Oryzias latipes: one gene and its partners. The protein of the gene in region 3 interacts with the protein of the main gene of each other region in a biochemical or structural test. Links are inferred from orthologs where the notes say so. Each region holds a gene or a part of one and is shown on either strand. Other genes may lie near its edges.

What was found.
Region 1: the proteins of cdc27 (region 3) and pttg1 form a complex in vitro, tested with the Homo sapiens proteins (3 studies listed by BioGRID). The link is inferred for Oryzias latipes from reciprocal best matches to the Homo sapiens genes CDC27 and PTTG1.
Region 2: the proteins of cdc27 (region 3) and anapc4 form a complex in vitro, tested with the Homo sapiens proteins (2 studies listed by BioGRID). The link is inferred for Oryzias latipes from reciprocal best matches to the Homo sapiens genes CDC27 and ANAPC4.

The regions. Positions count from the first base shown.
Region 1 is NC_019868.2:9,721,954-9,726,011, reverse strand, and holds pttg1 (securin), read right to left. Parts: upstream 2,838-4,058; 5' UTR 2,775-2,837; exon of another isoform or gene 2,668-2,774; intron 2,020-2,667; 5' UTR 2,015-2,019; coding exon 1,927-2,014; intron 1,842-1,926; coding exon 1,708-1,841; intron 1,617-1,707; coding exon 1,535-1,616; intron 1,103-1,534; coding exon 947-1,102; intron 321-946; coding exon 235-320; 3' UTR 174-234; downstream 1-173. Other genes in the region: sept6 (septin-6), read left to right, coding at 3,354-3,383. UniProt on the Homo sapiens protein: Regulatory protein, which plays a central role in chromosome stability, in the p53/TP53 pathway, and DNA repair. Probably acts by blocking the action of key proteins.
Region 2 is NC_019862.2:1,185,710-1,190,006, reverse strand, and holds the start of anapc4 (anaphase-promoting complex subunit 4), read right to left. Parts: upstream 2,804-4,297; 5' UTR 2,742-2,803; coding exon 2,634-2,741; intron 2,556-2,633; coding exon 2,450-2,555; intron 2,378-2,449; coding exon 2,245-2,377; intron 2,165-2,244; coding exon 2,090-2,164; intron 2,012-2,089; coding exon 1,985-2,011; intron 1,914-1,984; coding exon 1,869-1,913; intron 1,783-1,868; coding exon 1,698-1,782; intron 1,557-1,697; coding exon 1,449-1,556; intron 1,372-1,448; coding exon 1,201-1,371; intron 566-1,200; coding exon 501-565; intron 387-500; coding exon 344-386; intron 267-343; coding exon 190-266; intron 115-189; coding exon 14-114; intron 1-13. UniProt on the Homo sapiens protein: Component of the anaphase promoting complex/cyclosome (APC/C), a cell cycle-regulated E3 ubiquitin ligase that controls progression through mitosis and the G1 phase of the cell cycle.
Region 3 is NC_019866.2:96,482-100,018, reverse strand, and holds part of cdc27 (cell division cycle protein 27 homolog), read right to left. Parts: intron 1,936-3,537; coding exon 1,836-1,935; intron 1,651-1,835; coding exon 1,541-1,650; intron 1,470-1,540; coding exon 1,370-1,469; intron 1,300-1,369; coding exon 1,119-1,299; intron 928-1,118; coding exon 755-927; intron 661-754; coding exon 508-660; intron 431-507; coding exon 350-430; intron 1-349. UniProt on the Homo sapiens protein: Component of the anaphase promoting complex/cyclosome (APC/C), a cell cycle-regulated E3 ubiquitin ligase that controls progression through mitosis and the G1 phase of the cell cycle.

The DNA of each region.
Region 1 (4,058 bases), on a different chromosome or scaffold from region 3:
CTTTCCTCTGAAAGGGGAACTGAAAAAGTTCATTCTAATGAAGCAGATCCTCTTCAGAAGACTCCCAACACGTGACCACAGCTGGAGTTTAAAGCAGGAAGTAGTTCAGGTTCACTCCCCTGACACTTTTGCAGCCATTCCATCACACACACACACACACTCTGGACCACAGATGTTGCCAAGAAAACTTTATTTCAACACAAATAATAAAAACAGCCATTTAACAAACAGGCATCAGCAGTCAGTAAGCGGTTCTGGGGGGAATTCAACAGTCAGCTCTTCAAGGGTTTGTAGGAAGGCATCCAGCTCCAAGCTGTGATCTAAAAAGGAAAATGAAGAGGAGTTTATGAAGGCTTTCCTGCCAACAGGCACACTTTCCAACAATAACAGCCATAACAAGTGGCATTTGTTGGAAGTCACATGATTCAGTTAATGAGTAACCTACAGGTCTGATCATAGTTTGAACTGTTCAACACTAAAAGGATTAACAGGTAACAGGGAACAGCATTGTAGTTTAGGGGGAAAGCTTTCCTATTACGTTACAGTTTGGGATCATTCGACAAGAATCCAGTCTGTGTTTCCCCAAGGGCACTGAGGAGCCAAACAGGTTCTTTGCAACAGAGCTGAGTAAATGAAAATTCAAACTAGTTTATTTTGTATCCCCAAAAGAAAAGAGAAAAAAAACGAACATGTTGACTCCAAAGTTACTAGATCTGTGTACAAATGGTTTGAAGTTTTTTGTTTTAACAGTAAAGCAAACCTCAAAGTTAAAATATTTTCTGTCTAATTTTGAAAAACATGACACGATTACTTTTTCCTAGTATTTATTACTTATTTAAAGCACCATGTGGCGTTCTGTTGCATTTCCCTTTGTTGCAACAGAGTGATTTCCTCTGTAAGCTCCTGAAAATAGGAGATTTATCAGACGTATAAAGGAGAACCATACCTGGAAATCTGCACCCTTTTGCAGGTGAAGGGTCTGGGAGAGGCTGAATCTTTTCCAGGTCTTCCTCAAGAAGAGGCGAGGTAAAACAGGCCAATCCGGGTAGAGCCAGGCCACTGAAAGGAATGAAGTCCTCGGGTATGCTGTACTTCTCAAACTCTGAAAATATGAAGAAACTCAGGAATGGGTGAAAAATTTCCCAGACTGTGAATAAGCCCCTTTAAAACCAAAGAAGTCAGAAAAGACACAGCCACACATGGGAGCCGTTTAACACAGTGGACACTACCACAAGGCCACTGAGCCACTTCCAATTCTTTCACATCATTACATTTTGTTGCTTTTACTTGAACAACCACCACTCATGAGCAGAAAGACGCTGTGCCCGTTGATTATGCTCAGTGATAAGAGTGGATATTGTAAACATGGTGGCTATGAAATGATGTGACATTAGCAGTAAAGACTTTCAGATGGCATACAGCTGCAGCACGACCAGCGGAAATGTGGAACTACTAAACATCTTGGTTTAAAAAAAAAAAAAAAAAACCTCTTAAAAGCATAATTTGCCTGCAAACCAAACAAACATGACATTACCTAGAGGGTTGTAAGGAATAAAATTTTCCATTTTTGGGTATTCCTCCCCTTTGGCTTCAGAAGGATGCTCGACCTTGACTTCCTATTGAGAAGAAGGGCAATATGGACACACAGAAACAACAGAATAGCCTTTTGCTGAAATAAATCCATTTGTCATTAGTGTTTATTTTTACCTGTGGTTTTAAAACTTTTTTCTCTTGTGTACTCAAAGAAGGGGTTAAGATCTTTTTGTTCACCACCCCAAAAGCCTTACGCGCTGAATGGACAGGGGTATTTTTGACCAACATTGGAGACTTCAACTGTTTTTCTGGTTATAGAGAGCGAGAATAAAAAGGAGGATCATGCAGAGTTCCACAAAGATAATCTGAAACAGTTGAACATGTTTTTAATACCTGGAGCAGACAGAAGCCTCTGACGCATTTTCAGGGAAGAGGGACGGAGGCAAACATTCTCCTGTTCGGTGAAGATGACATTTGCCATCTTGGCTAAAAGGTAAAAAAAGAAAAACATTTGGTTTCAAAAAACTTTCAATTACTTTAAATGGGGTTTTATATACACAAATTCATAAAAATATAACTTAATTTATTGAAAGAAAAGGGGGAAAAAAAAGGTGCACTTTGAAATTCATAAGTAGACTAACAGAGTTGGCTATTCTCATTTTGTTTCCCCACAATTCAGGCATTTTGAGGTTCAATTACGGATTTATTTATTTTTTTTTTACATCAAAAAGGCTTTCTGCTAATTGGTGCTGATGTTTAGCATTAAGAAGAAGATTATGTATTGTCAGGCCCAAAACTAAACTAAGCTAAAGTAGACATTTTGTTTTCATCTAACAACTATGCAATTATTTACAAAATAATGGATACATTTCCCATTTGGAAAATGATTAAGTTCAGAATAATTTAGTTCAGACAACAAATATTTATTTACATTTACTGACAATAATGTAAACAGCAGAGATTTGTCCAATGCTACATTATTGTTAGCGGTTAACTTTGTTTGTCATGCAACGTTACGTACGGTTTAAAAATTATCGTTAGCAGTTTGTCGTGCAACGTACGGTTTAAAAAAAATTGCCCATTTACGTAAAATCTTGGAATGATAAACCAACGGTTACTTTCACGTCTATTTACCTTAGTGTTAGTAACCTCAAAGAACAATAGTTCTTGGTCTCAATCCGAAGGCTTTATCGTCTTTATCCTGCTTTTTGTTTTTTATCTAGCTACAACAGCTTCCGCACCTTTGTTTTTAAATCCGTTCACTTCATTCCATTGGTCGTTGTAGCCCTCGTGACTGTCGTTGGGCAGTGATTATGATTGGTCGTTGTACCCCACGTGACTGGCATGAATTAATTTCACCCGTGTCTCATTTCAAAGCGTTGTATGAACAGAATTGGGCATATTATCGAAAAAAAATAATCATTTAGTCAATACCAAACTAACAAAAATTGCCCATATTCATAAACTGGATAATTATTCATGCTAATTATTCCCCTTTTATTTTATTTTTTTATTGCTTGCTGACTTCCATTTACTAGCGTTCTATCGGACGAAACCATGTCTGCACCATCTTTCTTTATCTTATGTGTTTATTTTTCTATAAATAAATCCGTCTTAAAGATAAACTGCAGTTATATGTCTTTTTTTCCCTAGTACCTATTGTTGTAATCAAGACGCAAAAGCAAAGCTACGTGTTCTCTACATGATTAACTCCGTAGATTCAATGGTACATTCCAAACAGGCCATCTTTCTGAGGAACGTTAACTGTTCAGCAGGGCTGCTGAAAGAGGACAGTTGAGGGAGAGCTAACAGAAAGCATCATGGCTTCGACCGAGATAGCAAGGCAAGCTGTAAGTCTTCTGTTTTACTTTTAAACGCATCCATCAGCCTAAATATGAATTAGTTTTACGTTTAATGTGCGTCAAGGATATGTTAGATGGAATTAGGTGTTAATAAGGAACTCCCCGCATTTTTTGTGCCTTTCAGAAATTCGCGGCATCATAGCTAAACCAGTGTAATGTCACTGTATTGACCAAAACACCCCAAATATGCTTTGGATATTCATTTAGAGCTGTGCCTTTGTAAAATTGTAGATAGGAGTACCTGGTCTTAGCTTTTGTATTGTATTCTTAATCGAGAACAACGCCTTTATCTCCATGCTGGTTACAGCTAGCTTAATTATCTCATTAACGAAACTGCGCCTGGTAGAATTATTAGTTTTTCATTGCCGTCGTAACAAAAATGTCGTATATTTAAAAGGTTTAATCAATACAAATCCCCCCGTAGGCCATTCATTCTGAACGCCCCCATTTCAGCTCAGCTTCAGTGTTCATTTCCGTTCTGTTCTGTCATGTAAATCCCGTTAACTTTCAACGGGCGTTGTCTAAAAGTAAACAATATTTCTTGGTTACTATTACTTAGTAGTAATGCATATAAACAAGCGGTTTTAAAGCTATGCTAGGACAAAGTGTGCTGCTCTTTTTTTTAAGGGAGAAAGGAAACCACTTAGTCCAGAGGGAGTGCTT
Region 2 (4,297 bases), on a different chromosome or scaffold from region 3:
TCTGAACTCGTACCTTCTATAGCAGCAGAATCTAAGCCCAGGGGCTCAAACTTCTGCCTCCACAGAGACATCCCTCTCACCTCACTGAGATGGTACAGCAGAGCCTCGGAGCCACTGCAGGAGGCAGAAGAGAGGAGCATGAGGAGCATGAGGAGGAGCACTGACCTGAGGACAGAAGGGGGAGCGAACCTCTGCAGGTGACTGATCACCAGCTTCTGGATGCTGGAGTAAGAAGACTCGATAGACTGGCCAAGCTTCTTCAGACCCTAAAGGGTGAAGGAACGGAAAGATTTCAGTCTCAAGTCCTCAGAAGGAGGTGGAGTCTGAACTCACCTCTCCTCACCTTTACAGTCAGCTGGTTCATGAGGAGAGCCTGAAGTTCAGGACTGGAAAGGATGAAAAAACAGTTAAAACAATTCCTTACTCACTGCTACCATCCACAGGACGGTCCAGGCAATACAGTTCAACCATGAAGACAACAAAGGAGGTTTGCTTTCCACCTGGACTGTCCCCACAGCAGGAGCTCCAGAAACTCATCCTGAACCTGAGTGCTCGTGTTCTTTTCCTGGGAACACAGAAGACATGACCCTGAGTATGGTGGCCCTGAGGTCCCAATCACATTAACACAAACGCATGTTAAGACCAGAATGACAGTTAACAAAGCAAAACTAAAAAACATCATCTTTTGGAAATCAAAACAAAATTCAGGAGACTGAAATGTAAACAAAAAGATTCAGAAAAAAGGAGTTTCCATAAGTTAATGTTAAAATTAAAAAAGAACTAGAGAAACCAGAAGAGGCAGGTCCTTTGAGGCATTGCTGATTGGATGATGACATTTGAGTTGTGAAGAAGAGGAAACGCAGAAGAAGGTTTCACCTGAACTGTGGCAAACAGCTGATTAAACAATCAGCAAACGTGTGCAGTGGGCGTGGCCAGAAGCTTAAAGAAATCTCCTCTGATGGAAGAGATCGCCATGACAAAGAACTTCCCGCCAAAAAGGTGAACAAACATCATCATCCAATCAGAGACGTCCCCTGATACCCACCTTATTATTATTTGGTCTGCTTTTTTCATTTACCATGATTTTCTGGTGAGAGATTTGTTGATGTGATTTGCACATCAGGGCCACCGTACTAAGCCAATATGCGCTCAAATGTTTGATTCTTCCTCCAGAGAAAGGCATTTCTTTACCAAACAAACCTGAACAAACTTGGTGAGCCGAAGGTCCATCTGCATGAGGATGTCCTCCCACGCCTCACACATACACGTCAGAGAGAGATGCAGGTACTGCAGCAGCGTGGAGATGAAGGTGAACTTCAGCGCCATCCGGGTGACCTCAGGCAGGCAGTCAGACAGCAGGCCTGTGTCCAGCTGACGGGCAAGGAGGACGCATTAGGAACACAAACAGAGCATAGATACTCAGAGAGAACCAGAGTGGATCACCTCACCTGGATGTAGCAGATCTCTGGGTTATTGTCAGCAGACCTGACCTCTGCGATGACAGACAGAGACCTGAGATCACTGGATAGACACAGATTGCGGCACGTTCCAGTCACCTGCACAGCAGGATAAATCCAAGAAAAACAGTTCAATCTCCAGGCATTTCAGGATTACTACCAATTAAATCTGTAATACAAGTAAAACCCCTCTTTGGTCACTTTTAATTGTTTGTTACAATGTCAAGAAAGCTTTCTTACCCCATCCACAGCTGCTATCTTATACATCCCATAAGCATAAAGCTCCACAAAGCCAGAATCTCCTCCAAGAACAAGAACATTCAGTCTGCAAGGAAAAAAAAAAAAAATCACTCTTACAGTCGTGGAACCATTTTCATTCAATCCTCAAAAACTGTCACCTTGTTTTTTTACCTGGCATCTCCCAAGAGATTGAGTATTTCATCTGACTTCTCTTCACTGTGACAGAGGGAAGAACACTCAGGAAAAATTCAAACGCTTCCAAACATTCATCATGAATGGTGTCTCACCTGAAGATCTTTGAAGTTGTGCTGTAGCTGTGGAGGAAAAACAATGACTGCATGGAGATTGCCAGTAGATGAGATTTGAAGCAATGCACGTCTTCATGGCTTTACCTTTTTGGAAGGGTTGGGATTTTTGGGAGAAAAAGTTTGGATTCATCCTCTGAGCTGTAGAAAGAGCTGAGGGAGCTGGAAGGTAGAGAACGATAACTTAATATGATTCCTGTCTGTTTGGTTAAAGCATGGATATCCCTTGAGCCTCTCTTCACCTGCTCTCATCCACGACCTCCATCCAGTGCATGCAGGTGACGGCGCTCTGCACTGGGAACACGTGAAGGATTTCTGCCTTCTCAACCCCACAAAGGACGATCTGCTTTGTGTCTCCGAGACTGAAGGCCAGTGCTGGAGATCAAATGGATGAGCAGAGTATAAAATCCTCACATTCAAGTTGAAATATGTCGAGTCCACCCTTACTTTTGCCATCTGGTCTCCAGGCAAGCGCCGTGATCTCTTTCCCGGTGCGTTCAGTAGGTGGTAAACTCCAAACCCGCTGGAAACTTGCTAAGCGATGCAGCAGCAGCTATGAAAATCAAAACATTCAACTTTGGATAAAAAACCAGCATAAAGAGTAAGAGGGTTTTCAGGAGCTGAAGCTCACCTCTCCAGCCGTGTTGGCCAAAGCGATCAGATCCCTCTTTGGAGACCAGGCCATACACAGAACAGGGTTTGGAAGCTGCTTCTCCCCTACCTGCCGGAAGGCTGGCATGATGCAGCCCGCAGGTGGAGCGGCCCACAGGTGGAGCGGCCCACAGGTGAAAGGAACGCAGGTGGAGCGGCCCGCAGGTGGAGCGGCCCGCAGGTGGAGCGGCCCGCAGGTGGAGCGGCCCACAGGTGAAGTGGATGTAGGTGGAGCGGCCCGCAGGTGGAGCGGCGCCGACAATGACTGGACGATGCTCTTCTGGGACAGTTCCACCTTTTAAAAATCTCAATGGTTGGTATTCTGAATCTGTCCAGCTGACATGACCTGCAGAACATGACTCCATTATTCATTCAGCCTGTTCTTGTTCTTCATTTCCTGTATATTTGATCAGATGGAACATACAGCAGGTGGCTTTTCAGATGAAACACGACACCTCTTAGATTTACATACCTCTGTCATATTAAAAAGCAAATAGCCCAAACCAACAAAACAAGTCAGGAAAATAATAACAATTAATGCAAACAATATAATCAATCCACTAACTGTGTTTTTTTTTTGTATCATTCATTTTTATTTCAAAAATGTTACGTCCATTTTTTAACCGTTTCTACTATAAATCAAACGAAAGAAAGAAAAGATTTTTCAGCCAACATCAATACAGGAAATCATAACCCTTTAATCTAAAACCAAATAATAAAAATAAAGCTTTTAAGTCGATTCTTCGCTGAGAAACTCACTTGTTCAGATGAGATGTGACGCTTCCAGCTGTTAGCCGTTCAGCGGATAAACACGACTCTGTTTGTTTCAGTCCTTTACCGTCTTAGAATGACAACACAGAAATAATCCACATTAAAGATACTCTTTTGACGGTTGATCCAGAGTCTGGCGGTAGATTTTCCTGAAGTCGTTTATGCAGCTACTGAGACGCCGCCATACTTTTCTCTCGACCAATCACTACGCAGCAACGGCAGCCGAGAGGAGACAAAGTTCTTAGAAGACAAAACCGCTCCTTGAAAACTAGCAACAGTTTAATCGATGGAGCCCGATGGTCAGGGTTATGTCATGGAATTCCTTAGCAAATATTAGCCTATTTCAGTTTACTACAAGTATACTTAGTAGTGATGGATGAGGATGAGTGTATTGACATATTACCCAGACTGTGTCGACTCTGTATTGACGGTGTTGTTTCCTCTAGTGACCGCTGACATAATAATCAAATCATTGCGGTAAATAAGTAAGTAAAATAAGATTTAGATGAAAAAAGCAGTTAAAGCCCCACTTAAACAAAATATGTATTTTATATTAATTTTATTTTATGGAATTATAGCATGTTTTGTAGCACATTTCTCCTGAAAAAAATCTCATGTTTCTCATGATAGAGGACATAGAAAAATAACATTAAAACTGCATTTTTGAGTATTTCTTTATTCAACATATGGTGAATTAGGAGCAGACAAAAACTGCCATTTTAAAATTTTGTAGTTATTATAGAGACTACAGACAGCAAGTGACCAGCTCCCAGCTCTGCTCCATTCTGATGCAGACCAACAGATCCATGAACGTCTGTGTTTTCCTGCTCTGAGCTGGAATCTGGATCAGAACTGGACGGAGGGACAGATCTA
Region 3 (3,537 bases):
TAGCCTAGGGGCGGAGCTGGCAGTGAAGATTCTTCCTAGAAGGGGCTGTTCCTCACTTTGTGATGTCACAATGTGAAAAACTCGTTTTGTGGGCTCGGATGGGCTGGAGCTCAGAGAGAGGGTTTTAGAGGAATCCCCAAAATGCATGAAAAGATCCAAATACAACTTTGAGGTTGTTTTTAGTGAGGAATAAATATAATACACTTAAAAGCTCAAAAAAGTGGGATGTGCATGATATAGGCCCTGTATAATTAACAGATATAAGATTCTGGTTCTAGTATTCTGCAGTTGTAAAAGTCCCCACAGCAATATTGTGGCTAATGGCCCTCACCTGTCTGTAGCAGCTCACCTGAATGGCTCTCTGGAAGAACTTGATAGCGATGTCGTGCTCTCTCTGAAGACTGAAGCAGTTTCCTGCTACACACCAGGCCTGCAGACACAGACCAGCCAATCAGGGAACATCTTCATCCGCTGACTTGCCTATTGACGGAGGGTGGTGCCTCTCACCTCGGGGCAGTTCTTGTCCATATCAGTGAGATCTTTGGACAGAGCAGATAGGGCAACATCTTTCTGCAGGTGCCACAGTGTGGTGGAGTAGATTTCCATTCCCTCCACCCGGTATGACTCAATCCGTCGAACCTCACTGAACAGACGCTCTGCCTGAAGGCACATGCTGGTCAGTTGGAACCCCCCCACTGCACAGATCACATGACCAGGTCTCAATAAAGGTAAGCCAGTGTATCCAGAGAGTTACCTGTGTGTACTCGGCCAGCTCAAAGTAGGCTTTTCCAATGTGAGTAAGCACCCAGCCAGTGTTGTAGTGCTGGGGGGGTAGCGAGGTTAGTATGTTGATGGCTTCTCTGCAGCTGTAGGAGCACAGCGCCTGGTAGCCCCGCCCGAAGTCTCTCAGCAACGCCATTACACTGTCTGAACACAAACAGAACAAGATCGGAAACACACCACAACCAGAGTAAAGAAACTAAGTAGAACAGTTTCTACTTAGTCTATTTGTCAATGTGCCAAAGGTTTTTGTTTGTAGAACAAGGCTTATGTCTCTTTGAGACAGTCTGGGCCTTCAAAGAGCAATATTACTGTAGCTGACCATGCCCCTTTAGTACCTGCAGCTGCCCGCTGGTAGGGGGGAATCCTGGCATCCGGCAGGCTCAGACTGGGGTCCAGCCGCAGGATGTCCAGACTTTCGTTCAGATTGCTGCTGTTAGAGGTCTTTGCAGATTTACACTTGGTCTTCCTATTGGGGATCTTGGTGGGAAACTTCATCTTCAGCTTCTTACTGTTCTCCTGCAGAAACAGACAGCGGTGAGTCTGCATGCACTGAAGAAGCACACCTGTGGGGCACTAACAGGCACACCTTGGCAGTTGAACTGGCACTGGTGAAGAGTCTCGAGCTTCTTCTGGGCTGAACATTAGGAGGGCCAGACATGCTAGGACTAAGGACCTGAGGGGACCCACTGACAAAGAGAAAGAGACGACATTCAGACAGAGCTCCCAGATCCAATCCCTTGGCATCTGTGAGTCTTACCTGGTGTGAGGTGCAGAGGTCTGTGACTGGTTAAAGGGAATGGGAAGAACATCTCTACTGTTTCCACTCTGACTGAAGACAGACTTGGACTGACTGATCCTGGACACAGACTGGAGGAGGAACACAGGTGAAGACAAGTAAAGACAGGTAAGGTCAGGTGAATTGATACAAGTACAGAAAAATATGGTTCAAACCCACTAAAAACAGGAGAGGTTGGGTGAAGAGATAAAATGCAGGTAATAGAATTAGCACCAGCAGAAAACAGCAGAAATATTGACCAAAAAATTGCAGGTACCTTCTTGCTGGGAGTTGTAGTCTGTGTTTCCATGGTAGCCGAGAAGTTCTGCAGGTATGTGGGTTCTCCTGGGCTGGGGTCCAGTGGCAAGATGCCAAAGCTACACACAGATAGTTATAACCCGGGTGAGAAACTGCGTTAGTCTCCTCTCGCATCTCTTGCGTGACGACGACACCACACTGCGTGCGTCGTAGCGTCACACAGTCATGTGACGGGTAGGTTGCCGGAAGAAGCGTCTGGGGAAGTTTCGGGTGTTTAACTGGAGGTACGTTAACTGATTTCGTCTTAGTCATTTCACTTTAAACAATCCGAAAACTAACGCTACTAACATCGGAACATAGGAGCCGACTACTGGTGCCGATTTGTCCGGAGACGAGCGTGCAATACGAAACTAAGAAAACAGAACTGGTGAGTGAGCTATTGTTAGCTTAGCCGTTCCATTACTTTACATGGAGCGGTTAGCAATGTGTTTAAACCAACTTTCTCCAAATGTTAATTTATTTGAAACGTAACTTATAGCCAATTTTCTATTGACTGTGATATTGTTACATGCATGAATTTTTATGGTCCACATGTTGGTCAGAACTTTTGAATTGATGGATTGATCATGACGTGTCATTGTGTATTAGCATTTTGCATTTTAAATTGTGATTAATATGATAAATGAACTGGTTAATGAATAAGTTTATATTTCATTGTTATTTTGATCATGAACCAATTTTGCTTACAATTGTACAATTATGGAAGATGACACTTATTTATAATGCAATCAGCTTTATTTATTAGTGATGTTGGGAAATGAATTACCCTTGTGTGCACACAGAACTGGGACCTATTATTTTCTGCAGGGCTCCAGACTGCGACCAATTGGTCGCATTTTGCGACCAAAATTTGAGAGTGTGCGACTGAATTTTACATCCAGTCGCACATGCGCGACCAGTAAATTTGCCTCCCCCACCCTACGTATTTTTTTATACATCAAACGTGGAAGGGGCACGTCAATGATCAATGAAATAATCAATGAGACGCGAGCGCACACGCACGCAGGCAGACACACACACTCGCGCACATACTCATGAAACGCGAGCACACACTCGCGTGATACCTGTCTGTGAGGCGGCCACTGCGTGTGAGAAGAATAGGGAAAGCCACTGTGAGTGGCTAAAATGCGTGGAGGGGATAATCGAGATAATAGAGCGCGCGTAAACATCTGTGGGAAGGAAACGGAGACAAATATCACAACCTCATCATGTGCGTCTGAGCTATGAATAAGCGAACTATTGATTTGTTCTTCCGACCTGCGGCTAGTGTACCAGTGTCAGAGTGTACAGCAGGGATCTCAAGCTCGCGGCCCGCGGGCTATTTGCGGCCCCCAAGATGATATTTTGCGGTCCCCGCCTTAATATTAAAGTTTAATGTTACTGCAGCCCGCCAGTTTGTATGAAAGACACTTTTTCATCGTCGTGCACGGAGCTGACCAACCAATCACAGTGGGGTAAATGACTCTTGGGGGCGTGACATTGACCGGGTTTGAAAGCAGGAAACCTGACAGCCCCCTCCCCAGACCACATGAAGGACTTCCTTACTTTCCTTTTTAGAACGTATCTATTCGCTCGTAATTTTCTACATACATGCAGTCCGTGCTGAACTTTTCTCTGGGCCGCACAGACCCGGTGGAAGGTTTAGGTTTTGGTGACGGTTA